Linked DNA regions of Lytechinus pictus. The protein of the gene in region 2 interacts with the protein of the main gene of each other region in a pairwise test. Links are inferred from orthologs where the notes say so. Each region holds a gene or a part of one and is shown on either strand. Other genes may lie near its edges. The genes, in order: protein lin-7 homolog C-like; peripheral plasma membrane protein CASK-like; ATP synthase subunit s, mitochondrial-like; ubiquilin-1-like.

Evidence for each region.
Region 1: the proteins of peripheral plasma membrane protein CASK-like (region 2) and protein lin-7 homolog C-like interact in a two-hybrid assay, tested with the Caenorhabditis elegans proteins (5 studies listed by BioGRID). The link is inferred for Lytechinus pictus from reciprocal best matches to the Caenorhabditis elegans genes lin-2 and lin-7.
Region 3: the proteins of peripheral plasma membrane protein CASK-like (region 2) and ATP synthase subunit s, mitochondrial-like interact in a two-hybrid assay, tested with the Caenorhabditis elegans proteins (3 studies listed by BioGRID). The link is inferred for Lytechinus pictus from reciprocal best matches to the Caenorhabditis elegans genes lin-2 and C05C8.1.
Region 4: the proteins of peripheral plasma membrane protein CASK-like (region 2) and ubiquilin-1-like interact in a two-hybrid assay, tested with the Caenorhabditis elegans proteins (2 studies listed by BioGRID). The link is inferred for Lytechinus pictus from reciprocal best matches to the Caenorhabditis elegans genes lin-2 and ubql-1.

Annotation. Positions count from the first base shown.
Region 1 is NC_087253.1:11,784,260-11,792,066, reverse strand, and holds the start of protein lin-7 homolog C-like, read right to left. Parts: upstream 3,007-7,807; 5' UTR 2,943-3,006; coding exon 2,909-2,942; intron 404-2,908; coding exon 362-403; intron 1-361.
Region 2 is NC_087260.1:13,512,522-13,519,578, reverse strand, and holds the start of peripheral plasma membrane protein CASK-like, read right to left. Parts: upstream 3,017-7,057; 5' UTR 2,989-3,016; coding exon 2,912-2,988; intron 150-2,911; coding exon 72-149; intron 1-71. UniProt on the Caenorhabditis elegans protein: May play a structural role in the induction of the vulva. May be required for the localization of signal transduction molecules (such as let-23 receptor) to either the basal membrane domain or the cell junctions.
Region 3 is NC_087251.1:18,076,966-18,084,931, reverse strand, and holds the start of ATP synthase subunit s, mitochondrial-like, read right to left. Parts: upstream 3,019-7,966; 5' UTR 2,884-3,018; coding exon 2,860-2,883; intron 278-2,859; coding exon 180-277; intron 1-179.
Region 4 is NW_026974140.1:5,442,009-5,450,026, forward strand, and holds the start of ubiquilin-1-like, read right to left. Parts: upstream 3,009-8,018; 5' UTR 2,922-3,008; coding exon 2,805-2,921; intron 1-2,804. Other genes in the region: uncharacterized protein LOC129260988, read left to right, coding at 7,179-7,389, 7,771-8,018. UniProt on the Caenorhabditis elegans protein: May play a role in the ER-associated protein degradation pathway (ERAD) possibly via its interaction with ER-localized proteins ubxn-4 and cdc-48.1 and/or cdc48.2, providing a link between the polyubiquitinated ERAD substrates and the proteasome.

The DNA.
Region 1 (7,807 bases), on a different chromosome or scaffold from region 2:
TCCACTGCTGGGTTTAATTGCTAAAATAATCTCTTTTTCTATTTTTTTATTCAAAGATCTAGTTTTTACATTACTGCATTATAGTGCTAAATTCCAGTTTCACAAATATCAAAATATGAAGAATTTCACAGATATATGATTTTATTTTGAAAACTTGGAATACTGTTATTATTCTTTGACTGATACATAAACCTTCACCAATATTTTTCTATATTTTTTTCTGCTTTGAACCATCTCACCATCAGGGCAAACATACATGTAGCCTTTGACTTTAGGATCTGGATAGAGGTTTTGGAAAGTGCTCAGTATGTATCTGTAATTTTTGTGGTACATGTACTTGCAAATTATATGATAAACTTACGTTGCTGTAGATTTTGAAGTAACTGTATTGCACGGCTGACATCTGATGGAAAATAAACAGAGACGTGATGACATGACTTTGACAGGAATCCCACATTAACTAAGTACAATCTCACACTTTACTCATTTGTAAAAAGTACAGAAATCCCACAAAATATATTATTTCAAAAGCATGAAAGACAAGATAGATCTAGAGGTCAAGATTGATCATTTATTTTAAAACAAAGAAGGGGGAGACAGTACCATCACAATTATAAAAAGCATGGTGATAATAATTACCAGCCTTCCTTTGATTAAAAAAAAAAAAAAAAAACCCAGTCAGTCTTCAAAACAATTATTATTCCTGTTTGTTTTTATCGAGAAGTAAAAATCTATTCCGGGCACTGAGCTTTCCTACCAGTCATGCCCAACAAATAAAAAGCATATTCTATAATCTATAGACTCTTTATCATTCCAAGCTCACAGCCCGGCCCAGGCCCCAGCTAACACAACAACAGTTCCATTGGCAGATCTAGCGAGCAGAATCAGAAAGTCAAGGGTGTAACAGGGGGGGGGGGGGGGGGGGGTGACAGGAGCAAAAAATTTCCTGGACATATCATGGTGTCAACAGGATTTTTCATGATGGTAATAAAATATGCGAGCATTGGCGCGTAGCTCTATGTGGGATTAGCGTGACGAGTAAAAAGAAATCAAGGGGCACCGCATGGCGCTTGTGGCAAAAGTTTCATGATAAAACTTCACTTTTTCATTACAATCTTACTTTTAGGGTCTTTATCTCTCTTTTCTCCTCTTCATTGTTCTTGGTTGTAATAATAATTATTTATAATCAAGTTTCAAATTTTATCATTTGTTAAATGATAATTTTTATCAATAAATTGTTCTTCAAGACGGTATTTTGTACCATTGCTTATCGAGGCTACGTTATAACGAAGCGGTTCAAGGGCCAAGCCTTATGTATTGCGGTGTTTACGAATGGAATGAGGGATCTAAACGAAATCGGTCTGGTAAGAAACCTCTGATTTTTCATATTTATACTAATAGTTTTTTTGCACCTTCATACGCATTAGGCATATGAAGGTGTATACAAATTTATGTGATTTGTAGGTTTAAAGATGGATTTCCTAATATCCTATGGAAATCAATCAATGCTTTGATGTCTCGCTTCGCCTGTTTCAAGGCTTCATGATGAATAAGTATATGTCAAAATATTAAAAAATATAATCACAAAGTCCTCAAGGCCAATGCCCACCGTTTTTCCAAATATCGTGATCGGGAACGTTTAATCTGGCCCCGTTCTCGACGATCTATTCTAAGTAACTGCTCCAATTTGAAGTTAGCAACCAAAATCATGCGAACAAACATGTGAGCTGCCGCAGGCATATCTTTTGGTTGCTAAGTAAGGGCAAGGCCTATGTCTGACCCGAGAACCCGGGGGGGGGGGGGGCACTTACATTGACGAGTGGATACCATGCGCGACCAAAAAAACACGTAAAAAGGGTGTCTTTTTCAAGATAGGGCACGTTACGTATGTAACTTAGTAATAAGGGTGTCAAAAACACTAAAATAATGAAAAAAGGGTATCTATTTTCGCTAGAAGAGCTACGTATTTAGGGTCAAATTTGGGAGGGTATAGAAAATTGGGACTAAAATGTTTTTTATAAAGGATGTACTTTTTGCCCCAACAATCAACACTACGTGTTTAGAGTACGATTTACGCGAGGTGTGGAAGGTGAAGCCGTACTAAACCCAATTAATGATGTAGTTAAACTTAAACTAAGGTAAAACCGACGACCGACCTCCATGGCATAACAATTAAAATATCGCTGTACTTGTTTAGGGGTTCAATTCAGGGAATACTTGCCAAGTCCAAGAGTATCGTTTTGTTTCCAATACTTGTTATTAAGGGTAGGGTTTAACATGCTAATACTTGTTAAGGGGTGCATTTTCAGCATATGGAAAATACGTGTTTAGGGTGCTTTTTGAGACCCCATGGCCATGGTCGCACATGGTATCCACTCTTCAATGGAAGTGCCCCCCCCCCCCCCAAGAATTTGAATAACGTCGAGATCGGAGCCAAAATGTAAATTCGCCGTTCCCGATTTGGAAAAGCAGTGGGCATATTCACCTCGAAGTGTGAATGAGAGACTTGCATTTTGCAAACAATATACTGGTGGGAAATTTGCCTGAAATCGGTAAGCGCGAAATTGCATTAGCCCCGGACAGTCAGAGAGTCAGCTCCGCCAAACTCTCAGCGAGCTCTTCGTCATCACCTACCGGCCACCTCCCCGCCCCGTTGGGGCCGATATGAACGTTCGCACGACCCCTCCTTCCTGTAAACATCAGCCAGTGCAGTGGGTTGCAAATGCCGGACCGTAGCGTAGAAACTCCCAGAAAACACTCTTATTTCCACACTTCCTCGTAATATCACACATTGAATCCCACTTTATAACAATCCTTAGATAATGCATATGTATGAAATAAGTAAATAAACGTAAATATTCATAAATTCTCTGATATATTGGCAAAAACATAATCGTTAGTGTTTTACCTCTGTCGAGTGTAAGTTCGCCTGTAGAAGCCATTTTGTCATCTGATCTCGGATGACGTCATCATTGTACTGTACACACACATCGAATGCATGAAAAAAAATCTGCAAATCTGGCAGTAAAGAGCAAGTTGGGAGCAATGTGCTTCAAGGATTAATCAGAAGAAAATATGTGGCAAAGGGAAGGGTGGAATTACAACAACAAAAAATGGTTGGAAAAGGAAGAGAACAGAAAAATAAAAGAAACGGGAAAAGAGAAAAGACAGCAACGCCCGCAGCAACGTATACGAAAATTAATAGAAGACAACAATTAAAAAACTGAAAAAGAAGAAGAAAAGATAACAGAAAACAGAAACTTTGAAAATGAATGAAAAGAAAAGGAAAGAAAAGAAACGAATAGAAACGAAACGAAAATAAAAGAAAAGAAAAGAAAGAAAGAAAGAAAGACAGAAAGAAAGAAAGAAAGAAAGAAAGAAAAGAAAAGAAAAGAAAGAAAGAAAAGAAAAGAAAAGAAAAGAAAAGAAAGAAAAGAAAAGAAAAGAAAAGAAAAGAAAAGAAAAGAAAAGAAAAGAAAAGAAAAGAAAAGAAAAGAAAAGGAAAGAAAAGAAAAGAAAGAAAAGAAAAGAAAAGAAAAGAAAAGAAAAGAAAAGAAAGAAAGAAAAGAAAAGAAAAGAAAAGAAAAGAAAAGAAAAGAAAAGAAAAGAAAAGAAAAGAAAAGAAAAGAAAAGAAAAGAAAAGAAAAGAAAAGAAAAGAAAAGAAAAGAAAAGAATGAAAAGAAAAGAAAGTAAAGAAAGAAAAGAAAAGATATAGGTCCTGAAAATATGTACGATAAAATATGAAAAGAGGAAATTAACAAAATAATAAAAGATGAAAGGTAGGCCTATATCTAAAGGCCTTTGATTATACAGGAGAGAAAAGTAAAACATAATCCCCGCGGAGCCAAAAGGTAAAAAGAAATACAGCGTCGAGGTCAAGGAATATATTTGCAGACAAAATAAGAGAAAAAGAAGTAGAAAAATAAAAACTATATATATTGGCGCTATATGAATGCCTATATCATTATCCCCGAGAAAGTCAAAGTGAAACCATATAGGCGAGCCCATTATGGGGCAAATTCATTGGCTGGGGGTGTAGCTCCTGCATCGATCGCGGCCGCACCTCGAGCTGCAACTGCTGACAATAGGCCTTATAGGCCTATTTTTTAATTGATTATAATTTTAGAACTGAAGAAGAGAAAACAACAAGAAGAAAGGAATTGAAAAGCATGTGAGTATAACCCTACGGTGAGTTGAGTTGCATACTTGCATGGCCCACAGCATCCCTAGCTGTTTTATTATCATTATTACTACTGATTTGATTGTTTTGTTTTCTTCATGGAAAAAAACAAAATCGATTTTATTTTCTTCAGGTATCCTCCTTATCATACACTGCTTTTCTTTTCAGTATAGTTTCTCTATTATATAATTATTGCATAATAAATTGTCACCGTTTTTTTGGCAGTCAAACCAAGTTACAGATGTAGTTTCCCTTTTCATGATTCTGTATTTTGTTCTTTGCCATTTACCCCACCCCCTCTCCCTTGGGGGGGGGGGCATGGTCCACTATTATAGTGCACTAACTGAACAAAGTTATAGAGAACGGCAAAATGACGGAGGTCCCTTTCAGGGGCGGATCCTGGATTTTCCAAAGGGGGGGGGGGCACATTTTTCCGAGGATGAATTTGACAAGCAAAAAAAAGTTATCACTTACAAAGGGAGGGGGGCACAATTTTAATCCCCTCCCCCCCCCCCCCCCATTTATTAGCCATTATTAGTCAAGAAGTTTTCATGAAACGCTTAATTCCCATGTAATTTCGTGTTTCCATTCAACTTAATGCGAAATGAAAATTGGAATACTGCCCTCTGCGGTGACTCTTTTGCTTAGAACTTTTTCGTTTTCATTATATTTTTAGTGATTTTTGTTTCACTTTCTCTCTCTCTCTCTCTCTCTTTCATTCATTCATTTTTTTGTAGAACTTTCATCTACCCTTCACATGTTTTCTTCCGGGTATTTCTTTTATAGCTTAGCCACGTTTTCTTTCTAGAAAACCATGAATTTTTCCTTAATTCCCCATCAAGCTTTTATTCTTTTGCAATATCTTGCTCCGACTTTTCACTGTCTTTTTGTAATTCCCAAATCAAATCAGATACAAAAAAATGAATTATAAAGTATTTAAAGGGATGGTCCGGGCTGGAAGTATTTATAGCTTAATAAATAGAGTAGAATTTACTGAGCAAAATGCCGAGAATTTTATCAAGATCGGATAACAAGTTTATTGAATTTTAAAGTTTAGCAATATTTTGTGAAAACAGTCGTCATGAATATTCATTAGGTGGGCTGATGATGTCACATCCCCACTTGTTCTTTTGTATTTTATTATATGAAATTAGGTTTATTAACTTTTTTCTCCAAGAACTAGAAAAATTGGATTGACAACTGATTTAGTGCATTAGATATTTATTGCTGCAACTTATTTCATTATAAGGGAGACATATCATTCACACAAGGTAAGTATGAAATAATGAAAAAATTATGATATTATGTAATAACATAAGAAAACGGAAAGTTGGGATGTTACATCATCAGCCCACCTAATGAATATTCATGACGACTGTTTTCACAAAATATTGCTAAACTTTAACCATCAATAACTTTATTATTTGTTATCCGATTTTGATGAAATTTTCGGCATTTTGCTCAGTGAATTCTACTCTATGTATTAAAATATAAATATTTTCAGCCCGGACCATCCCTTTATTTGGTTAAAAAAAATCACTAACCAGCGGATCATAATTTATGACCCTTTCCCCCTCCTTTTCCTTTAATCTATTACCTCCTTTCCACATAATCCTTTAATATGGTTTTCATGACCCGATTTACCCCATTCCCCTCTTTTTTATTTATTTTTTATTATGCAAACGCATTTTATATGTTCCATAATCATGCAGTCTGTATACCTGCTTTTCTACTACGTCTTTAGACCATTCCCTTCTTTTATGTATCACTTTTTTTCTCAAATACTTTGTCTCGATACGGATCCAGATCCAGATATTGCTCTTTCAGTCGGCACCACCCCTCCCTAAAAACGGGGAATTACGACAGCAATAACAGGATAAAAACAAATCATATCACAACAGAGAGCAATTATTATTTTTATTCATTTTTTCTGAATCAGCAATATTATTTTTTATTTTAAGTGCGTTTCCATCAAACATTTTCAATAAAACTTAAACAGAATGTTTCAAAACAGGCACATTGAGTAGATTATCAGTTACAAAGTGTTATTTCTCTGACGCCAAACCACCGGCCCAATACCGGGAAGAGTCAATGAATACGTACCACAATGTGAAACACTTGTGAAACCATGCCCCCTTCACACTTAAATTTGATCATTTCAACAATGTGCATCCCATATTCACATAATCGACCATGTGAACAACCACCAACGCTGCCAGTTACTACACTGTAAAAAAAAATTAGTAGAAATTACTTAATAAAATTGTGGCAAAAAATTGCCTTAATTTTTTCAAGTATTTATGACTTTGGCAGTTTTAAGTAAAATTTACTTATTTTCTTTGCTTCCATTTTACTCAAGAAAATTAAGTTACAATAACTTAATTCAATTAAGTAAAACAATCACTAAAATATTTGAAAATATCAAATGGGGGAGTGGATGGACTTTCGTGATTCGAAAGTCCGCTCCCCCATCGTCCCACTTTTGGTGGCATCATTTTCATTTTATACATGTTTTATCCAAATATTAGACTTTGTGAATTGTCACTTACCTGTACATGTATAGGTACTGACATTGATATTTATACGCGATCGTTTCATTCTTACAAATAAAACAGTGAGAATAATTTTCTGCTAAATGACTATTTAATGTTGCCTTTTCTTTGATTCAACAAAAGAATACAATAGTTAGCACACCCTTATCCAAAACAATTTCAAACACAAATAGAAATGACAGTTATTAAAAAAAAAAAACATTTACTTGCTCTAATGAATATTCATGCATTATTTAAATATGGCGTTAATTGAAAATATAAATACATTCAACATGATTTTATAAGTAATAATCATCTTTGCCTAATTGAGTTAGATTTACTCAATCAAAGCAAGATATCAATACGTGAATTTTCTTAAATGTATATTGAACCCAAATAAATCAAGTAAATCAAGTAAATTAAAAGACAAGTTGAAACTACTTAAAAACAACAAAAAATAATTACAAATTGTAAATTCTACTTAAATACATTAAGTGTTAACTACTGATTCAATGTTTTTTTTTTACAGTGTATTGCTCTTATATTCCTATACATAACAATTTTTTTACTATTATATATTTTGATTTTTTTAACCTTTGTTTAATTGTATTTTTCTTATGCCATTGTTATAACCTGTTACCTTTCCTCCATGCCCCCAGGAGGGGCCGTCAAAGAAATAAAGTCATTGTCATTTCTGGTCGAGAATTTTGACAATATCTTCACACTGTTGAATTTGAGCATTATTTCAGTGTAAATAATATTTTCATAATAAAAAAACAGTCCACTAAGCAAACGTACAGTGATCACACTACGTGACATCGCTTTCTTTTAGTGCAGAGTATATAGGCCAATGTAGCGCATTTTCATCTTTATCAGTTTGTCGATGGTTTTTCTTAATTAGTTTTTAGAATTTTCAATCATGGTAGGCCTATACTAAATGCTTGTTTAATAGTCACAAACAATGCCACTATGTTTATATTTTTTTTCTCTCAATTATTGATTTGAGGTGTGGCACGATTTATTTGTTGGTGATTAAAAAATGGGGGAATTAAAAGTAGGGCCTATCAACTGAACTGTTTTATCATTCGATTGAAA
Region 2 (7,057 bases):
TTCATCCAGGTAACATCTGGGTATCCCCAGAATGGTCAGTGTGAAAGGGGTATGAATATTAAGTTACTTACCTTGATACTGCTTCACTGTAGACGAAGCCTGCATTCGCTCTTTTGACAATCTCAAAACACAGGTCTGCTCCTTCCATACTGCACAGGGTAATAGGAGGGTGAGAGCAAGAAGGAAAAGGAGAGATAGGGAAAGAACGAAGAGAGAAAGAGAACGGGAGAGATAGAAGGGGAATGGAAGAAAGGAGGGTGAAAGAGGAGGGGAGAGAAAGAGAGAAAACAGGTAGAACATCAAAGAGAGAGCATAAACAAACACGAAAGTGAAGAAAAGAGCGAGAGGGGCAGAAGCAAAGTTTTTTATGAATTGGGGGGGGGGAAGATTATGAGAGAGATGAGGAAAAATATATGAAGGAAGAAATATAGCAGAGAGGAATAAAAAGAGAAAGAAAATGTTGATTAGTGAATGAAAATATTTTTGTACATGTATTATATTTTCATTTTAGTATACTGCTATTCATAGCAGGGGATTCTACTTGAGTCAAGTACAATGCAAATTCAAGGAAAACAAATATTACATGACATTTTTAATGCAAACTAAGACTGAAATATTATCAAGCTGATACGTTTGTCCTCTCATCACTGCAGCATGCATAGCTAGTTGCATCAAAGCGAATCATTATATGCATAATTCACCACTCATGGGAATAAATACATGTAGCGTGCCTTTCAGACAAGTTGAATTTCTTGTACTGTACATGCAGTATTAAAAAATTTAGTGCATCAACAACTAGCTCCTACTCAATGTGTACACTGTAGGAATGGAATAGGCCTACATACTAAACACAAATCTCATTTTACCAACAAAAAAATCAATACAATTAAAAGAATTTATTAAAGCCATTTCCAGATTATGAAGACGGGCTCTTACGATTCCAATAACATGGAAAGACATATATCCACATTATATTTCTTCCCCTTTCTTGAATACAGTTTTGCCTGGAAGGCAGACTACATACATGCTGTCAGAAATGGAGGAGTGGTGAAATCTATATTTTATTGATCCAAAATCTACTTTGTCAAAACAGACTGTGAAAAAGAGGGTTGTAGAATTGTAAATAATTGAAAGGAATAACAGACATGAATTTTTATATGATGAAATGAGGGTATTCTGCATGGTAAAACAAGTTCGTACAATTTGTACTGACAAGCCATGCGTGGAAATGGTTTCCAGATACTTTTTTTTTTGTAAAGTCCCAATGATTATTTACTCAAATTGCATTTTATATAAAAAGTTAAAATAAATATATACATGTATTGAAGATATATTTTTTAATCTACTTTTTGTAACCTACTGCAACATTCTGCATTGTCATGAATGGGGATTTAGCAAGGGCTCTTTTGAACAGTTTGAGGGCGGAGTCGACCAAATCCCTCATCCAATTTCTCTAAGCTATTGATAAGACAAAATGGTCAATAAGCAACATCAATAAAAATATAGTTTCATCTATTTGAAACATGCATAGCTTCAAACACAATACATTGATAAAAAGTTCTCCCAGAATTTGAAAAACGTATTTTGTTCATTTCTAATTCTAATAACAATAGATATGCCCATTTCTCAAAGGCTGAACATACATTTAAGATTACTGAGCAAAGTAAAAAATATGAAACATCTTGAAAGAATAAGCTAAATTCTAGCCCTCGGAACTGTCACCAACCCCCCTAAACAAAAGATGCAGGCATCCTCTCAATCGAATAAATTGATGGAAACACGCACGCACATCACTCTATAGAATGCCTGGCCTAAACATCCACGGCTAAAAATAGCATGATAGTTTTTTTCTTCTACAAGGAATTCTCTCCCATCAATGGACATCGCTCGTAGGCAATCCCATCTTGGTCTTGCATGAAGTAAACCTCACCAACTTGAACCTCACTACTGCTACAGACACACCGGTGAAACCGACTACAGAGTGATCAAAGCTGTTACGTTATTTCCAATGAGATACGATCGGTCGGCTGAGAGTCAGTTTTATGGGTGTGACTGCAGCGTCATATTTGGGGATAGAATAAATCCCCTTCTCACGGAAAGCAGTCCATTTGAAATGATAGAAAAAAGGTGTGTACATGTATAGTGCATATATCATCTGTTTTCTTTACACTGAGATGCTAAGAATCATACAGAAATTGAGCATCAACTATACTGCATATAATGATACATAATACAAAAGAGACGACAAATTACATGAATGATTTACATACGTTGATAAATCCTCATATTTGTCATTACACCTACATGTATTCACGGGGGACCAGTTGAGGAGAACTAAATCATTTTTCTTATTTTATTAGCACTCATTCACGAGAGTTACAAATCATGATCTATGACGCTTGCAAGTCAATGACCCATTAAGACCTTCCTTGTCAGACTTCCTATGAAATCATGAAGCGTGACTTGTAATGCTTTGATAACCATGGCTAGATAATTCATCATTTTATAGACCTACATGTACCTGATTATTCTTTATATGTAATATTTATATTTCATTTTAAGTTCTTCATATGACATGATCTCAAATGCACATTGGATATTAAAATCAATCAATAATTGAAGTCAAGGCAGATAACTTTTCAAAAATTTAATGAAATAGGCAGTGTCCATTAGAATATGATTAGGAACTGTTAATTTCATTTCATTTCTATTTTTATTTCTATTTAATCAGGATAGCCTCGTCAGCTATAAACTCTGCTTGGCCCTGAAATATACCTGTATAGTGTATGAAGTTATTAGAGCTTGCAAGATATCTATTCTCAGATTAAAAGTTACATATATACTCCACCTGGGTGGAGAGTGGCAAAAATGGGACTTAGGCCTTGCCAAAGAACGTGAAAGATATACTTACTATTCAAAAACCATATAGAGTAGTCCATCTGAACTGTATGTCTCCAATAATTCAACAATGTGTGGATGCTTTAACATGTGACATATTGATGCTTCTCTTTTCAGGTCTACAAAAAAGGAAATGAGAGAAAAGAGAGAAAAATAAGAACATTTTAATGTTGAAGTGTTAAAAAGTATCATGACTGTATACCCAGAACAGAAGAGACACACAAATGGGCGATTCCATGCTAGAAAAATCAGCCATTTTCACGACATTTTTCAACCTGCTGTCCAAAAAAATAAGGAACTTCAACTTGTTTTGTGGTAGTAATAAAGTACTACTTGAAAGTCATGTAAAAAAAAAAATTACAACCAACAGAAAAATGTCGTCGATGGGTGAATTAGAGGATAAAATGTTGCGTCGTCGTACGGGACATTTATGAGTCCCGTGCGACACACACCATTTTCACCTTTAATTCACCTCCAACTAAACATTTTGATATTGGTAATCAGTTTTTCACATGGCTACCCACTATACCTGTATCATTGATAACAATGAAAATTGTATTGCTCAAGCATTCAGCTATGGCATCGCCCATACCATCATCTCCATTTCTTTCACAATGTATTAGTACTGACTTTTAATATAAGTTTTTACAGTGGATAATATAGAAGCTTGACTCACAGACCTGCATACATGTACATGTACATGTAGAACATGAGTATCAATTTAATAAAATATTAATCGCGCAATCAAAATAACCATGTATACATGTACATCAATTATTAATGTGGCACATGTGGGTAAACTATCTCAGCATATGAATGAATCAAGAACTATTCTTCGCATGTGCAAGTATGTCTGCACTTGTTAGGGGAACACAGACACATATGTATGTAGCCTTGTAAGACAAATCAATAATTATTCCATGAATATCATTGATATATCTTTCTGACACCACGGACCCAGTGCAGTTTGAACTTTGCTTTCCAGGATCAGAACTGCGCAAACAGAGACGGGACCTTTGTCAATACCGAGTATCGAGTATGAGTACACAATTCAAGTTGGATTCCTTCATCATGTATGACTGACCAAGATTGGAACCCATAGGAATCATAGATTCATTCCCTTTGCATGTTTCTTTCATTTTTTAAATATATTCTTAAGTAATTTAATTACAAAATATATAAATTTAGTTCAAATTTATTACAGTTCGCTCAGAAGGACCTTTCCCCCATTTCTTCATTATGCACCCCTTAATCCACACTCCAAGAAATGTTTCAACCAACATATCAGGTTGGTTAATTTATTATGTGAAACTACCATCTGTTGATTAAGAGAAATCCCCAAAATGTTGGATTTAAACATCATTTGTTTGTACCGTATGTACTGATTCGCACACCCAATTTAAGCAAACCAGTTGTGTCCTTACCGGTTAACCAGTTTAACAAGGTAAAGTGGTCTTGAAGACCACATTGCAAGGTGGATTTCCGAACTGGTTTTGAAGACCACTTAAGATCGCTTCCAAGACTGCTTTGAGCATTCCCATTACACGTTAAACTGGTTGCCACTATTAAAAAAACTGGTTTAAGAATGAAGGTGGGAATGGGGTCTAGGTTTCCATGTTCCTAGAAATCTGTTGCTTATTGGGCGGAGAATATGCACCCTCCCGAAACAAGAACCCAATCAAGGGCCTCGAGAATCACTCGTATTACTGTCCTCTCCGTCACCAGAGCTTGTACAGTAATCAATAGATGCTGTCCCTTCTTATTACCTGTACCTAGAGTAAGACATTACGGACATTTCAATGCATACAGTACATGCACTAACGCGGGCTGTTGCAGCCAGGACTAACAGAGGCTTTTGGTGGTGTTGTCAGAACCTCCCAACCCTACCCCTTTTCATTAATCCTAGTTTTGATATCGATTAGGCATGCAGATTATAAATTGTTTAAAAAGCAGTCCAAGGCTTTAAATGGCCCTTTCAGTGGCCTTGAATATTTTGAGGTCCTTTGTAACTTTCCATAACTGTACCTAAAGGTCAAGTCCACCCCAGAAAAATGTTGATTTGAATAATTAGAGAAAAATCAAACTAGCATAACGCTGAAAATTTCATCAAAATCGGATGTAAAATAAGAAAGTTATGACATTTTAAAGTTTCACTTATTTTTCACAAAACAGTGATATGCACAACTCAGTGACATGCAAATGAGACAGTCAATGATGTCCATCACTCACTATTTCTTTTGTTTTTTATTGTTTGAATTATACAATATTTCATTTTTTATAGATTTGACAATAGGGACCAACTCGACTGAATCATATAGTTTTAAGCAATGCTAGTTTCAACTGTTCATGGAGGAATCAAGCGTTGTTTCACTTGACAATGAGGAGAAAATGAGAATATTTCATATTTCATGTAATAGAATACAAAAGAAATAGTGAGTGGATGACGTCATCAGTCTCCTCATTTGCATACCACCCAGGATGTGCATATAACTGTTTTGTGAAAACAAGCAAAACTTTAGAATGTCATAACTTTCTTATTTTACATCCAATTTTGATGAAGTTTTCAGTGTTTTGCTTGTTGGATTTTTCTCTTTTTATGAAATCAACTTTTTGTTGGGGTGGACTTGTCCTTTAAATATATAAGGTACCCTTTTGGGAAGTGGCCTTGCCCTAAAAAAAAGTTCAAAATTTAAGGCCTGTATTCATGACATAAAATTAATTACAAAACATTAGTTTATAATTATATTTTGATTGAATAACAAAATAATCAAATCATGAAACCCACAAGTCATTTACCAGCAAATAGCAGAGAACATCATTCACAATAAAAGTGATTTCCATCACAAACAGATACAAAACATGCACAGTTCTCTCTGGATACACCTAAACCTTCCATTCCTCCCATCACTGCACTACACCTACATGTAAGAACTTCAGGATACTGTCATTTAATAAAATCGTGCATCTTGCAAGAATGGGGCATGACCACTGGGCAAATCTCCCCCCATGGCAGGGGGCAAAAGCACAGGAGCAGTTATTGAATTTCAACTGACCCGTCAAATCCAAAATTGAATCTACGGGAGTGAGTCGTAATGCGAACAAAATCGAACGACGGGGCTTTGAGATAACGTTTTCCCTGTCATCCTATTACTGAACCGACGGTGGTTCTGAAAGGGTGGAGGTTGCGCCGGGGATCATACAGAACTCGACCCCTTGAAATGATGGAAATCAATAAATGAAATTATGTTGAAGAAGCAATGCTGTTATTCTTCCATTCTCAAGACCTGCGCAGGCATTGTGCCGTTGGGGTAGGGTGGAATTTGTGTTATGGGACACAACACGTGGGCTGCTCAAAAAGGTCACAACTGTTTGTTCTTTTTCCCCCTTACAGTATTAACATTGTTTCGTATGATCCTCCAAGTTACATCCCCTTTATAACCAATTGAAAACGTGTCTATATACAGGGGGATGCCTAAGTTGAATGGGACATGCTCTATACAGACAGGCTGGGGTGTAATGACATTCTTTGTTCATCAAAATTTCTTTTTGAATTTCTTTTTGGGGGTGGGGGTTGATAACAGATACACAAGGGGAAAAGAATGGTTCTTCACACATTACTAGCGTTGACATGTAAATGTATTTGTCATTATAGTCCGGTCTGTTAGCGTCAAAAATACCCTACTTGTGGACACGGTGGACAAAAGCATGATTTTTTCTCCAGACCTTTGTTTATGTATAAGAATTAAAAATGGGGTATGCTCCAAAAAATCTGGCTGCAGGAACAGTGAAAAAATGGGTGAAAATGTCAGAATTTATGAGTTTAAATTGGTCTGATATATAGACTAGCGCCAGTGCAAAACTCAATAGCAGTGCATTATTTTGCATTGGTTTAGTTCTTGAATTCAGACCCTTTTTGAACAGATGTTCTGTTTGTCCTCACATCTCAATGCACCATATATTTGAATGCAGATGCTAAACAAGCCTAAGGGTGGCGGAGAACTTGGTGGAGGGGTTGAATGTTGGTGTGTATGTACATATTTTGGTCTTGGGGTAAAGATGTGCAAAATAAATTTTTGCATGTTTTGGAATTGGTGTTGCCATGGTAACAGTGTATTATGGCAAAAATAAGGTAACAATCTTGCAGTTAGAACTACTTCCT
Region 3 (7,966 bases), on a different chromosome or scaffold from region 2:
ATATTTGTGATTGATGATTGGTTTTACTTTCAAAACTGCACGACTACAGAAGTACCCGATATAGAAAATTGCAGGTTTTTAATCTCGTTATTGTTAACCATAGTATTTTTATATAGCACTCGATACATAGGGATACATGTCCCTATTAGCAGAGTTATCGAAATAAAAGCATAACTTACTGATTAAAGACAGCATTTAACATCCCCCAGAGTGGACGTGACTGGAGATGGTGCTGCAGTAGAATACCTCTTGCAATGGATCTACCTGGATTGCAAATCTTCAAACAGCAATATACAAAAAAGAAAAATAATAACATTCATATTCTAATGCATTCTTGAGGTAAAAAAAAAAAACTCAAGAAATCCAAGACAAGCACTGTGGCAAATGTACAGGAAAACTCCAACAAGGTGTCTATTTTTTTTTAGACAGATACAAAGCAAGACCTGTTTTAAATAAATAGGCCATAACCAATTTGCCATATCCTTCTCAAACACTCACATTTGCCTACAACAATTTGCCAGCGAAATTGGAAAAGAGGGTCTTTTGAAAGGTCCAATAGCAAATAGAAATTTCCCAAGGTTCCATTGACAAAAAAGTAGACCAACATTAGCATAACAATGTAGGCATAGATCTACTCAAAAAGCTCTCATCATTAAGCTATAAATAGTCAAAGGAAACAGGGAATATCTCATTTTCTTTCTATTGACTTTCTTGAATTCCTTCTGTTTAATTCTCCATTTTAATGTTGGGTCTGGAATATTTTTTTCTGCAATTGAAAGTACCATTCTTTTCCTTTTGTCATTCTATCACCTCGTTTCTGGTTTTCTCAAATTTATCTCTTTTTTTCTTTTCATCGAGCCAATGAATTACCATACTTCTTCCAATAGCTTCATTTTGATCTTATTTCACTTCCTTATCATTTGATATTTTTTCCTTTAATCTGTTCTATCTATTCATTTTGGGTTATAGGTCTTAATTGTTCCACAATTCATCACCTCACTAATATGAGATTTATTACTATCAGACAACTGAAGCAGCTGTTCACGACTCTTATATTTAATAATAATAATATTTAATAATTAATACCTGGTGACAAACTTCCCCTCCATCAACTTTGTACACAAAACAAACACAATTAGAAATAGAAGAATTTAATTTAGCGAGCTTTATTAAGCCTAGCCCTAGGGCTAGGCTAAGGTAACAAATTTCATTTATAATTCCCACTCACAAAAAAAAAAAAAAAGTTATTTGCATTATAAAAAAAGCAAGAAATTCTAACGGAGTAACGCAAACTTTAAGACAGTCATGAAAAAGAAATCTACATGTGAATTTCGGAGTAAGCAGGTAAGTGCAGCCAACTTGGGGGGGCACTCATCATGCTCATGGATGGTAGTAGACAGTAGGTGTGCGGCCCTAAACTAAAGTACCCCTTTCATGACTTGTCAGCCGTTCCTGTCGATGTCGCCTACTCGCCTTGATCTAGCGTCTGTCTGCACGGTCCACACTAGACCAAAAGCTTCGGTCTCTGTTTTATTGGTTGTTCCGCTGAACTCCGTTGGCTCCAGTCCTAGTATAGTATTAGTCACAATACCTGCATGACGTGTGATAGACAGGAATAACCGTCGTTTCTGGGGATTTATTTTACTATATGTATTGGTGAGTGAGCCAACGCAGTTCAGCGAAATAATCAAACTACAGAGACTGAAGCTTTTGTTTTGGTCTAGACGTGTGAGTGGCTCCAGTCACCAATTACAGAGACCAAAGTTCTAACTCGATCTGTACAGATTACAGTACAGGGACGTATCAAAGACAATGGCCATATGATGATATGTTTATTAAGTTCGGATAAACCAGGCCGCGGGAGTTGCGCGACAGCCGAAGTTAAGTCACTGTTTTTCCCCCATTTAAGTTAATTTTTTTCCGTTTTGCTTTGGTGCATTTCATCAGGCCAAAACGGAATAATATAATCTTCATTTTGGCCCAGTTCTTATGAAATAAAGAAAAAAATTGATGAGCCCTGCGTCGGGGGGATTTTGCATTGTTTACCCCCTAAATAATGGCAGCTGCACGATCGCGAGCCATCTGTGTACCGCCAGTGTACGAGGAGAAAATATGATTAAAAAACTCCTCGAAACAGACGGCTGCAAGCTGTCTAGGTCCACACCAGCTGCCGCCGCCCGCCCGCCCCGGCCCCCGCCAGCGCGCCACCGACCGCATCCCGTGCGTAGCCGTAACGTCTTTGGCCTAACGTTAGGGCTTCACGGGCCTAATCACTAGAGGCAGGCCATAGATATTCATTCGAGCCAACCCATTGCTATTTTTTAAATTTTGATATGGCTGATTAACAAAGTGTATGCATATGATTGTCCATCTAACACTGATTCTATTTTTGGTAATTATTGAACTTCCTTTTCCCAAATTGGGAAGAAATATCACCAACTTTGGACTATATTTTGACTGGCGGAAGGATTAGGGCTATTTTGCTGTTTGAGGTGATGAATCTGCTCCCCCCGACGGTGTCTTCAAACACGCCAATTTATTTTTAAAATGAGCCGGTCGAGGGACCCTTTTCTGGTCAGATATGGATTGCCAGATAAAAATCCTATCCACTGGTAGTAAACATTCGACCCCCGAATTTCACCCTTATTTTTTATGAATTTTTTAAAATGCCAATTTAACACACGAGTCTATGGGGAATGAGTTAGGCCTGTGATACCTATAGTGCCTTAACCTGTCCTTGGCCCTTGGCCTTGCCTCAGGCTCAGCTTGCCTGGGCATTTCTCTAAAACTCACAATTACAACGCCATTCATTCACATAAAGACACACATAGTTCTCCTCACAAGAGATAAATTTCTTACATTTTTACATAGCAAGCTTGTCATCTTTGTATTTTTGAGGGAGTTTTACGGCTCTGCATCTGTGCTGTAACTAACTAACTAGTAACTTGACTTAGTTTAGCTCAGAATTTTGTTTCGACATTTATTGAGAACACCATAGAATTAGAATTCCACTGATATGATGGGTAGGCACTTATGATCCAAGTTTGAAAGGAGACTCGTAAAATGACGTCAGTCTCGCCGATGAATATTCATTAGATCGTGGTCGTGCGTGTTCAATACACACTGCGTGCAGGCATGCAGATAGTTATATGCGAGGAACTTTGGCTCCAGAGACAAGTTGTCAAATAACGTGTGTGTGTGTGCGTGTGTGTACCATCGGCTGGTAGTATGCCATGCTGTCTAAGACTTCAAACGCGTCGGAGAGAGTGCATGGCAATTCGGTAAAACGAAGTTTCCCATATAAAGAGATAATAAAATAACACTATGTACAGTACGCCCGGGGGGGGGGGGGGGGGGCCACTTACATTGACGAGTGGATACCATGCGCGACCAAAAAAACACGTAAAAAGGATGTCTTTTTCAAGAGAGGGCACGTTACGTACGTAACGTGATAAGGGTGTCAAAAACACAAAAATATTGAAAAAATGGTATTTATTTCCAGTACGTTGAGAGGCAAATGTCAGATCATGGGAGGCAGGAGCTCCAATCAGGTTTTTTGAAAGGGAAGAATAGTGTAGAATAAAAGGTATTATATATAGCCAAATGATCTAGGTGAGGGAAGTGAACAATGATGTTTTTAAAAAAAAGAATGAATATATACCTTATACCTGAATATTATGGTGAAGCCAATTTAAAAGGAGGTGAGGCAAGTTTTAATGGAGGTTTTTAAAAAGAATAAACTGTATTATGGTGAAGCCAATTTAAAAGGATGTGAGGCAAGTTTCAATGGAGGTTTTTAAAAAGAATAAACTGTATATGGTGAAGCCAATTTAAAAGGAGGTGAGGCAAGTTTCAATGGAGGTTTTTAAAAAGAATAAACTGTATATGGTGAAGCCAATTTAAAAGGAGGTGAGACAAGTTTCAATGGAGGTTTTTAAAAAAGAATGAACTGTACTATAAATTATGGTGAAGCCAATTCAAAAGGAGGTGAGGCAAGTTTCAATGGAGGTTTTTAAAAAGAATAAACTGTACTAAGAATTATGGTGAAGCCAATTTAAAAGGAGGTGAGGCAAGTTTCAATGGAGGTTTTTAAAAAAAGAATAAACTGTACTACAAATTTAAAAGGAGGCGACGCAAGTTTCAATAGAGGTTTTTAAAAAGAATAAACTGTACTACAAATTTAAAAGGAGGCGACGCAAGTTTCAATAGAGGTTTTTAAAAAAGAATAAACTGTACTACAAATTATGGTGAAGCCAATTTAAAAGGAGGTGAGGCAAGTTTTAATGGAGGTTTTTAAAAAGAATAAACTGTACTAAGAATTATGGTGAAGCCAATAATTTAAAAGGAGGTGAGGCAAGTTTCAATGGAGGTTTTTAAAAAGAATAAACTGTATTATGGTGAAGCCAATTTAAAAGGAGGTGAGGCAAGTTTCAATGGAGGTTTTTAAAAAGAATAAACTGTATAATATGGTGAAGCCAATTTAAAAGGAGGTGAGGCAAGTTTCAATGGAGGTTTTTAAAAAGAATAAACTGTATTATGGTGAAGCCAATTTAAAAGGAGGTGAGGCAAGTTTTAATGGAGGTTTTTAAAAAGAATAAACTGTATTATGGTGAAGCCAGTTTAAAAGGAGGTGAGGCAAGTTTCAATGGAGGTTTTTAAAAAAGAATAAACTGTACTACAAATTTAAAAGGAGGCGACGCAAGTTTCAATAGAGGTTTTTAAAAAGAATAAACTGTACTACAAATTATGGTGAAGCCAATTTAAAAGGAGGTGAGGCAAGTTTCAATGGAGGTTTTTAAAAAGAATAAACTGTATTATGGTGAAGCCAGTTTAAAAGGAGGTGAGGCAAGTTTCAATGGAGGTTTTTAAAAAGAATAAACTGTATTATGGTGAAGCCAATTTAAAAGGAGGTGAGGCAAGTTTCAATGGAGGTTTTTAAAAAGAATAAACTGTATATGGTGAAGCCAATTTAAAAGGAGGTGAGGCAAGTTTCAATGGAGGTTTTTAAAAAGAATAAACTGTATTATGGTGAAGCCAATTTAAAAGGAGGTGAGGCAAGTTTTAATGGAGGTTTTTAAAAAGAATAAACTGTATTATGGTGAAGCCAGTTTAAAAGGAGGTGAGGCAAGTTTCAATGGAGGTTTTTAAAAAAGAATAAACTGTACTACAAATTTAAAAGGAGGCGACGCAAGTTTCAATAGAGGTTTTTAAAAAGAATAAACTGTACTACAAATTATGGTGAAGCCAATTTAAAAGGAGGTGAGGCAAGTTTCAATGGAGGTTTTTAAAAAGAATAAACTGTATGGTGAAGCCAATTTAAAAGGAGGTGAGGCAAATTTCAATGGAGGTTTTTAAAAATAATAAACTGTATATGGTGAAGCCAATTTAAAAGGAGGTGAGGCAAGTTTCAATGGAGGTTTTTAAAAAAGAATAAACTGTACTACAAATTTAAAAGGAGGCGACGCAAGTTTCAATAGAGGTTTTTAAAAAGAATAAACTGTATTACAAATTATGGTGAAGCCAATTTAAAAGGAGGTGAGGCAATTAGTTAATGGAGGTTTTTAAAAAGAATAAACTGTATTACAAGTTATGGTGAAGGCAATTTGAGAGGAGGTGAGGCATGTCTACAATGATTTTTTTTAAAGAATGATAAGTGTAGAATATAATTCAAATGATGAAGCCATCTTGAGAGGTGCATGAGGCAAGTCTACAATGAGGTTTCTAAAAACAATGAATAGTGAAGAAAAAGATCGCAATTGCTTTTAATAATCCACAAAATTGTGTAGTTATTTATTTCATGCAAATTGCTATTAATTGATTATGCTCATTTGTGCATAATTAGTATACTATACCTATTCCTCTAACTCCCTAAATAAAGCTCCAAATGTTCTAATTTTTGGTTTAGAAACTCTTTGTGGTGTTCTTCGATAATGTATTTCTTGTGTTTTTACCTTTGTATTGCATTGTTTTTTTTCAACGATGCTCGGACTCTCGTAACAGCATAACATAAATCAGTTTAGTTCAACAAAACTAAAAACAATTAGGCATTCATGAATTTTGGTTGAAAACGCATATTCCATTGACGTGGTACACAAATATCACAATTTTGAGCCATTTTTGTCTGATATGCACTTACAAATTGTTTGGTAATTTTCAGAACCCAGTACCCGGGCTTCGCAAAACTGGTCTCAAAACATGCAAAAGACTTTTTTTTTTAAATCGCAGAGCTCAGAGCCCCCCCCCCCCCCCCCTGCGTAAATAGGTTAAGTTTGCATTAATTTTGAACTTTTCCATTCCCAAATACGTAATATCCCCTCCCCAAAAATGCAATTGTCACTGAAATGGAATATACATAATATATTTTTTAATAAGCCATATTTGCAAAATAATCATCATGTCATCCTTTGTCAACAAGAAATCTGTACATGTCCTCTGGAAGAAAATAATACCTCGGCCGCCTATTAAATTCTAAGTTTTGATTTTGTAAGTATTTTACTTAGCAATTTGGCTGGCTTATCAAAATGCTTAAACTTGTATGCAGATCAGATCTCAGAATTTACCTTATCCAAATTGAACTAAATACTAATACCCATTGTGATGTTATAAATTTTGAGCCAAATAGTGCCAAATGTGTGAATGTATTTCTGTGCGTATCATTTTTGTATATGTAGACTTAAGTCTAGTAGATGGCTGACTTACATTTAAGCAAAATATTTAGCCAAAAAAAAATGCAATTGAATACCAAAGATGGATAAGTATTTTACTTTTGCAAAATACTGAGTAAAATATACTTGAAATTGTGGCTTTAAGAGTAGCATTGAATACCGGCCCTGTTCCTCATCATCATTATCATCCCACTACCACACCAGTTTCTGCAGCACAAACTTTAATTTTCATAGGTTGAGTCCATTTCAAAGCCAACACTCTCACTTTAACTTTCTTTTTTCTCTTATAACATGACGTCCACACACTGCCAATCACATCCTTACAACACCAACTGTCAGAGGACAACAGAACTGCAGTTACCATAGCATTACCCCCAAAACACCACTCAATTTTGAATTGATCCAAATGAAATATGACTGTGTTGCACAAAAAAAAGCTATGTAGTCATAGTAGATTTTATTGACTTGTACATTCATAAGGCTATGCATATATTTTGAGTAATTGTTGTGTTGTCTTCAGTGATAGTTGGTACCCACTGTGCTTATGGCCAACTTTGGTAAAGGCATACATTGAATAAACTTTTATGTACTGAAAATGATGACAGAATATATTCTAAAAAAATAACATTACAAATGCATGACAGGTAATACAACATATTTCAACATGAACTATTTCACAATTTGCCAACATGACAATAAAAACTAACCTTAAAAAATAGTAGAAGCTGATGTTGGATGGAAAAGAATATTTTTGTCATACAGCTTGAAAGACATTACATATGTATGCACTTAATGGTATCTACATGATCATTAAGTTCTTCTACACAGCTTGATATAATGTTGATTTATCCAGTTTGGCAAGTACTGTTGTGGTTGAGGCAAGGTTAATGGTTTTTCTGAATACTGAACCCCATTTTGTGTAACGAAATGAAATCTACCAGAGTTACATGACAAAGTACAATAGAAGAAAATACCAACAGCTAGGCAAGCTTTTTTACATAAATATTTTTTTCATATACTCTTTGATATTTTTTCTCAAAACAAATGTGGCCAGCCACCCAAATATCAACAATAAGTTGCCAGGGAAGGTTCGTAGAAAATAACCAAAATAGTAATTCAGTTTTCCAAACGCATATTTAGAATATTGGTTTATCCGAAAAAAAAAAGAAATTTCTTCATACTGTCAAAATGTGAGGTTGTAAAAGTTGAAGACAAAATACAAGACTTTGATATCCGTGTTTTGCTCACTGCTAAGTAGTTGAACTACATATTACACATCGCATGCTTAAGTGAACCCCAAA
Region 4 (8,018 bases), on a different chromosome or scaffold from region 2:
CCTTGTAACTAATTTTCTGCCTTTTGAAACCATGATATAGGCAACAAAATCATATGCCCTTGACGAATAAAACATGAACTATGTCCATTTTTAAATACCATCGCGGCTAATTGATACCATATTTTTTAAGCCACCGTGGACTTTTGGACATACTTGACCACCAATCGTTCTTGTAACTTATCCCAATTTATTATTTGACCCATTTAACCATGGTATAGGCACAAAAAAATCATATTCCCGAATATTGAACAAACTTTGTTGGGTTTTTTTAAAGTAGCAACAGCATTTTTTACTCCATTTTTGGAAGCCATCTTGGATTTTTGAACATACTGGACCACTGACTGTCCTTGTAACTTGTCCCAATGTATTATTTGACAATTGAAACCATGGTCTAGACACCAAAATCATATCTCTCAGGTTGATGTGATATGAGCTATGTCCATTTTAAGGATTAACAGCCATTTTAAACTCAATTTTTGGAAGCCATCTTGTAACTTGTCCCGACGTACTACTTCATCATTAAAACAATCGGATGGAAACCAAATTAAAGCCACTTAAGTAAGTAATAGATGAATTGTGGAGTTTTTAGACTACGGCATCCATTTTGGGCGCCATCTTGGATTTTCCTGGTACCCTGGAGTGCTAATATTCACTCTAACTTGTATAAATAAATTCTGTTACCCATTGGACCATGGAATATGAACCCAAATATGATTCTAGGGTGGATAATGAGTGAGTTATATCAATTTTTAGTGAATGGCGGCCATCTTGGATGACATCTTAAAAATAACCACTTTCCCGGATGCGGATTTTGGTAGATTTTTAGTATGTTATTCCTGAGGTCAAATAGTACAAAATACCGTTGAAAAATCATTTGTTGCAATTTGTTCCGGGTCAAACCATATATTGACCCGTCTATTAGTTTCTTTGGGTTTTCATGATTTTGGGTAACAAATCACATATAAACAATACAAGTAATTTGAAATAAAAAAGCAGCATACACATTATTAGTTTACATCAGAAAAAGTACAGCTTATCAACAGATAAAAAGTGATAAACATGTTGTAAAAGCAGTCACTTTGTCTCTTCTAAGTATTCCTCATCCCTTATAGTATAGTAAAGGCAAGAATGTAAATAACAGAGGGATACAAATCAGGTGATTTACCTAGAGATTAACAAATTTCTATCCTCAGAAGGCATATTAAAATATTCTTCAGTTACAAAAATTAAAAATGATAGAATATCTTACAACTTAAATCTCCATTTCCGAAAATGGCTTGTAGGTTTATTTTTCTTGGCAATACGATATTCAATATCCTTGTTAGAGGTTAAATATGCTTTATAACCATCAAAAGTTGGTGGTTTGTTCTGAAATTTACAAATATAAATGTAATATTTAAGCAAAAGAAACAAATATGCAAGGAATGTATCATCAATATAACCAAACATTTTTTCAAATGTTGAAACATTCTGTAAATCAGGCTTTTTGGTTTCCTTAATAATAGCTTTCATAACTTCATCCCAAATGGGTTTCACAACAGGACATTCAATAAAAAGATGTAAATAGGTTTCCGGGTCACTGTTACAAAATAAACAATTAGGGAAGTCCTTCCTTTTAATTTCATGCAGGAAATCATTCAAACCTATTGCTTTAAAAAAATAAACTTGAAATAAAAAGAGCGCACACGTGTCATTATAGTATAAATACATTTTGATTATTTCTTCCCTTTTCCCCCATCAAAAAGCAAAATTTAGGAGTAATCGAGGAGGGTGCAAAAGCGCACCCCTTTGTCCATAGACGGTTGTTTGCTCATAACAATTGCTTAATGATATTTATCGACTGAAACAAGTATTTTACGATTCGTAATATTTATCGGCCGATTAAAGTATTTCTTAAATCTAAGTTGGCAGCTCTACATGCGTGTGGTATCTTGGTATCGATAACAAAAGACTCCAAAATGGTGACGTAAACAAACTGGGTAAGTAAACCAGGGTAGGAATTAATTTTTTTTTTTAGGGGAAAGAAAAAAGAATTTTTAGGGGCGATTTGGGCTGTCATGGGGGCAAAATCGCCCGTCGCCCCCGTGTAATTCCGACCCTGAAGTAAACGCTCGTGCTCTTATGTTTTTTTCAAATTTAGTACTATTTTTCAATAAATATAAGGACCTTTATTAAAAATGGGGGGTAAATATTGTTTTGGCCCATACGTTAGTTTGGGCTAAAAACGTAAAGTAAAGGAAAATGTGTGATTTAGATTTTAGGTTTACTTTCACCGTGGGAATCCTATGCCTATACAGGGAGTTATGGCATGCCGTCCCAGGCTTCATGGGGAGTAAGCCTACGTAGTAAATAATTTTACTCCCCAGAAGCCTCCAGGCTACTGCCAGTGCCACTGGTAAGCTCCAACGTAACGTTACTCATAATTCATATTTACATGAGTCTGATGAGACAATTTAACTGCTAAAAATGGGCTTTCACGTCATTAGATACGAACATCTTTATTACTATCAGTATCACCCATTAACAAAAAATCGCATTACAAGTTAGTCTGGGTTAAAATCTTAAAATAAATGCACGTCCTGTGACTGTGCTAAGCCTAAGGCTAAGCTAAGGCTAAGTCCAGTATGGCTATGCCTATGGCGCTACGGCGGCGTTGCGCATTGTGAAACGCTGAGAGTGCAGTGAGAGACTGTGGTCTGTGAGTGTAGAGTGGATCATTCATCGCGCCGTGAATAAGCAATATTGACAAACTTCACCTACACTACAGTCGTTGCTAAACATGGACCCTCAATCACATATATTACCTGTTTAATTGTAGCATCGGGTTTGATTTCTATTGTTTCTTTGTCTTTCGGTGTCTTGACGACAACATTGATGATATCTTTAGCAGTGGTTCCCGAAGATTCTGTAGGCTCCGCCATGTTTCCAGATTTGTGTTTTAACAAATTGACCTCTCAAGTGACCGAATTTGTCTAACTAAGTTATGGAAAGCTACATTTGTAATGTGTTGTTGTTTGTACTAACTATTTTTTTCTACATTTACCATTTTCATGGTATTACTACAATAAATAGATTCGGGGATGTGGATGGTTTATATACATTGAAAAGTTTCCATTCATTTTTCCCATTTGAGTGTACTGAAGTCATTGATCAAATCAATGCCGTAACTCCGGACTGCAACATTTCCCACATCTCTATTTTATCAATTATTATATTTATAGGCCAAGTGGATCGACTTACAATCTAAGCCTAATTTGCTCAGAATTTTTGATATTGCATCATTTCTGAATATGATTTCACTTATCTCTCTTTGCATCATAATACTGTTAACCTTATTCCCGATTTCCATTCTCATCTCACATCTATCGGTGAAAAAAATAATGATAATTTTCATTTAAGGCTTTATATAATTCAATTCAATTAAACATTTATTTCCAAAGATAAAAGCATTAATACAATTTCAAAAATTTAACAACAATGGAGGTACTCTGTAAGCAGTGCTTGTGACGAGTGCACCGTGATAGAAATAAAAAAAACATATCCATACAAAGTACATTGACTGATTGATTGATTATGGTTGATTGATTGATTGGTTGATTGATTGCGGATTGATTGATTGATTGATTGATTGACTGACTGATTGATTGATTGATGATCGCTTTATTTCCGCATTCAATGCATCAGATATAAGTTTATAAAGTAGTACACTGCAAAAACTCCGGTGTTGATTTAACACCAGCCCGGCCTATGTCCACACTGAGAAGTATTGAAATAGCACCACTTTGGAATCAAACCGATGCTGTTTTAATACTAATTGGTGTTGTATAAACACCTATCTGGTGTTAGACCAAAACGAAACTTGTGTTGTTTAACAATTCTCTGCATGGTGTGGACATATATAGATTCCGGGCTGGTGTTAATTCAACACCAGAATTTTCGCAGTTAGTATGTACAAATCAATGTAGGCCTATATAACAAAATAATATTGTTAAAGTATAAGCATTGGATCAATAATGTTAAACAAAATTTGATTTGATTTGATTTATTTTTTCTTCTGCATTCATATAATTATAACATTTCAATTTTCATTATGTAACAAACATAATATATCGGTAATTGATTTAGGTATGAATCATAAAGAAAAAAAATACAAAATAGAAAGTCATTCTAAACAAATATGATCTACAACCAACAAAGAACATTTTAACATTTACAGTTTGCAGGAGAAGGATTGTCATTATTAGCAGATTGCTTGAAAAAAAATGACAACCCCGGAATAAAACTCATTAAATTATTACATACATTTATAAAGCAGAATGGAAATGTTATTTTGTTTATAATTGTATAATGATGAAGATGGAGATGAATTAGGATGATGGTGATAATGGTGAAAATGAAGGCCATGATGGAGATGGAGATGATGATGATGGTCATGGGAGAGTACTTGGTGATGATCAAATCACAGGAAAAATGATTTAATCAAAGAACGAGATATAGATCCAACAAAAGATTATTGCAAATCGAAGTGGGAGTTCTTTTGAGGTTTAGAACTGAAAATGGGACATTCTATTCAGCTATTTGATCATGAAAAGTATGGGTTTTGCTACAGAAATGATGCGAGCGCGAAGCGCGTGCTGAAAATTTTTCATATTCCAATCTGAAAAGCGGACATTTTGAGCACGATTTTAGATAAAGAACAAGTTGTGTATCTCAATCTCGCTTGCTGATTTCTCTGTAAAAACATTACAATCTTATTTTATTTTTTGCACATGCGGAATTATTGGGGGGGGGGGCAAAACGATATGTTTGCCCCCCCCCCCCAATATTTCCATTGGTGGGGCGATCGCCCCCCTGCCCCCCCCCCCCAGGATCGACGCCTCTGCCCTGGGTAACCTTTCCCACCTTCAGTGCCACTTCCAGACCTACACATCCAAACGTGTATGGGGGGCAGCAAAATGGAGGGCAACGAGGACTACGAGGTGCCCAAATATCCTCGTGTATTGGTAATTTGATGACCGAATGTATAATTTCTGCAAGTTTCATATCATGTTAAAATAATGGCTATAAATAATAATTAAAAAAATGTTCGCTCGCTCGAAAATTAAAAACTGTGAAGTTGATATTTGGGCAATGATTATCAGCCCCCCTTGAAGAAATTGTGCCTATACGTCCATGCCTACTACCCCTCCCCCATCCACCTTGCTCATTTTTGTCGCTTGCCCCCCCCCCCTGACGAAATATGCCAGGTACACCACTGAGCAACTATATAATTATTCAAAATATGCAAAAAAAAATTGCTATCGAGCTTTGAAGTTCACCAAGTTTGCAAGGTCTCGAGAAATACACAAGTAAAATAATATTGCGTTTTTAAACCCCACGGGATCACGACGTTGAGTTTGAACCTCTATTACTCAGTCAAAACCCATCTCAGTTTCACAAAATTTTACATCATAGTTCAGAATTATATACTTAATTCACTCATATTGCTGTGCTCTTTAAAGAGAAGTAGCACCTTCAATTTTAATGAGGTGTGAAAGGCGACAAAAAATATCTATAAAAAAAATTGACATTTATATAAAAAAATAAGAAATACAATGAATGCTGCACTTTATTTAAAATCCATGTCATTTTCACAAAATGGTTCATACTGTACCCCCCCCCCCCTCCGGAGTCAAATACACAACAACAGTGGTGTACCGTCGGGTCACGGCATGGGGGGCACCAGCAAAATTTTTGAGTCACTTAGTGAGCGCGCGAAACGCGCTCAGTTAAACGTATATCTCACTGATCATATGCGAGCGCGAAGCGCGAGCTGAAATTTGTTTATATTCAGACCTAAAAAGGGACATTACAAGCAATTTTTTGTAATCATGATACGTACCTATCTCGCTAAACAAACAATGCGAATTTTTGTTTATACTGACCACAAACAGGGACATTTTAAGGACTATATTTTAGCCAATCCATTAAGAGTATACATATATCTCACCCCCTCTCACCATGAAATCTAATGCGAGTGCCAATTAAGTGCATGCTGATTTTTTTAAGGATTACATCTAAACACATGGAGCACTTTTGTAGTAATTGTAATCATGATTATCATACGCATCTATCACTAATCGAATATTGCGCGCGCGAAGCGCGAGCTGAAGATTTAGGAAATTCAGACCTGAAGAGGGGCATTCTATATAAGGCTTAATTGTTTGTAGGAATTCACGAAGACCAAAGATACGTATTTCACAGTGATGCGAGCGCAAAGCGCAAGCTGAAAATTTTTGATATTCCGGATCAGAAAAAGGGACATTTTAAGCCTGATTTTAGGAATTCATGAAGAGCAGACATATCTTACCAATTCACTAATGCGAACGTAAGCATGGACAGGAAATGTTTTATATCAAGGCCTTAAAATGGGGCAGTTACTTTAAGTATAGTCACGAATAAGAAGCACGTGTCACTATACATAAAACAATATGTGTATATTGACTTGAAACGGGAGGTTTTAGTACAACAGGATTACATATCTCGTTAAACAGACAATGTGAGCACGAGGAACAATGGAGACATATAGGCCCTGAGCAAATTATGTTTCATAAAGTTATGAAAAAATGTTTTTTTATGTAATATAACATAACATAATATTACATTATAAATATAATGAACAATATCTTCTTTCTCGCTACGTTTCTCTCCCTTTCTCCCTCTATTTCTCCTTTTCCCCCTTTTTTTTGGCCAGCCCGGCGTAGTTACGCCACGTACTGTATTTGACTGGCGCCCGGGGAAAATGTACAGTACGCTTTGTTATTATCATCTCAAAGAATAATTTCAGTTTGCGAATTTTATAACACATTGGAATTAAAAAAAAAACAGAAACTTCATCAAGACCTTTATTAAAAAAAATAATGATAATAACAGACCAGGGTAATAAACAGCGGCCAAAATCCCGGGCCAAAAATTAATGAAGGCCGGTCTTACCGTTTTTGTAGTCATCGTTGTGTCGAAATCAAATCATGGTCACATAAGAACTGTCTACCATCATACCATGGCGTTCCATAGGCTTCTAATGTAATGCTTATATCGCATACGGATGTACACGTATGGTTAACGTACGCGAAGATTCGAGTAGGAGTTAGAACTTAGACTTTTGCCCTTAGAAAATTATTTTGATTCATGCTTGATATATGAATGTCAACATGTCGAGAACAAAGAAATTACTAAGCAGACCTGAACTTCCAAGTCTTGATGAAATCACTAAAGACTTGGAATCGGCGCCGAGCGATGATGTCGCGTTTACATTCTTGAAGAAGGACATTACCGATACAGCTGGTGCTGCGCTTGGCGGGATTCCTCATCAGGATTCCCATTCAAAATCAAGAGATTTCCTCCCCTCCGGTAAGTGAACCCACATCGACCCAGATACTCTTCCATTGCATCTTTTATTTATTCTGATTAAAGGTCAAGTCCACCCCAGAAAAATGTTGATTTGAATAAATACTACTATTACTAGAGAAAAATCAAACTAGCATAAATTAAAATCTAACTAGAATTTAGTAGAAACAATTGAATTTGAACCAAGACTGTCCAAGTCAATTATGATTATGATAAATGATGTTGATATTCAAATGGATGTTGTTAATGAAAATTATGTTAACATTTGTACTAATTTTGAATAATAGACTACATGTATTTGATTGATATGATAAAGATATTTATTCCACACTCATTCATTGATGTAAAAACCTAATTGTTATTTTCATTTGATCAACTTCACAGGTGAATCTTCAGCCAGGGTCGCACTGGATACATCCAAATCTTTTGAGTCAGCTGCCAAAAGACCCAGACAGGAATCCAGCAAATCAGTGTCGTCTAGTGCAAGGAAGTCTGAAGAACAACTGGAGCAAAGCAAGGAAGAAAGGGAGATCGAAGACTGCTATCAGAAGGTCCTGAAGTTCTTGGAAATGAACTCTTATCTTAGAGGCTCACAGGAGAAGATGTCGCAGCAGTGCGCAGACTTACAAGAA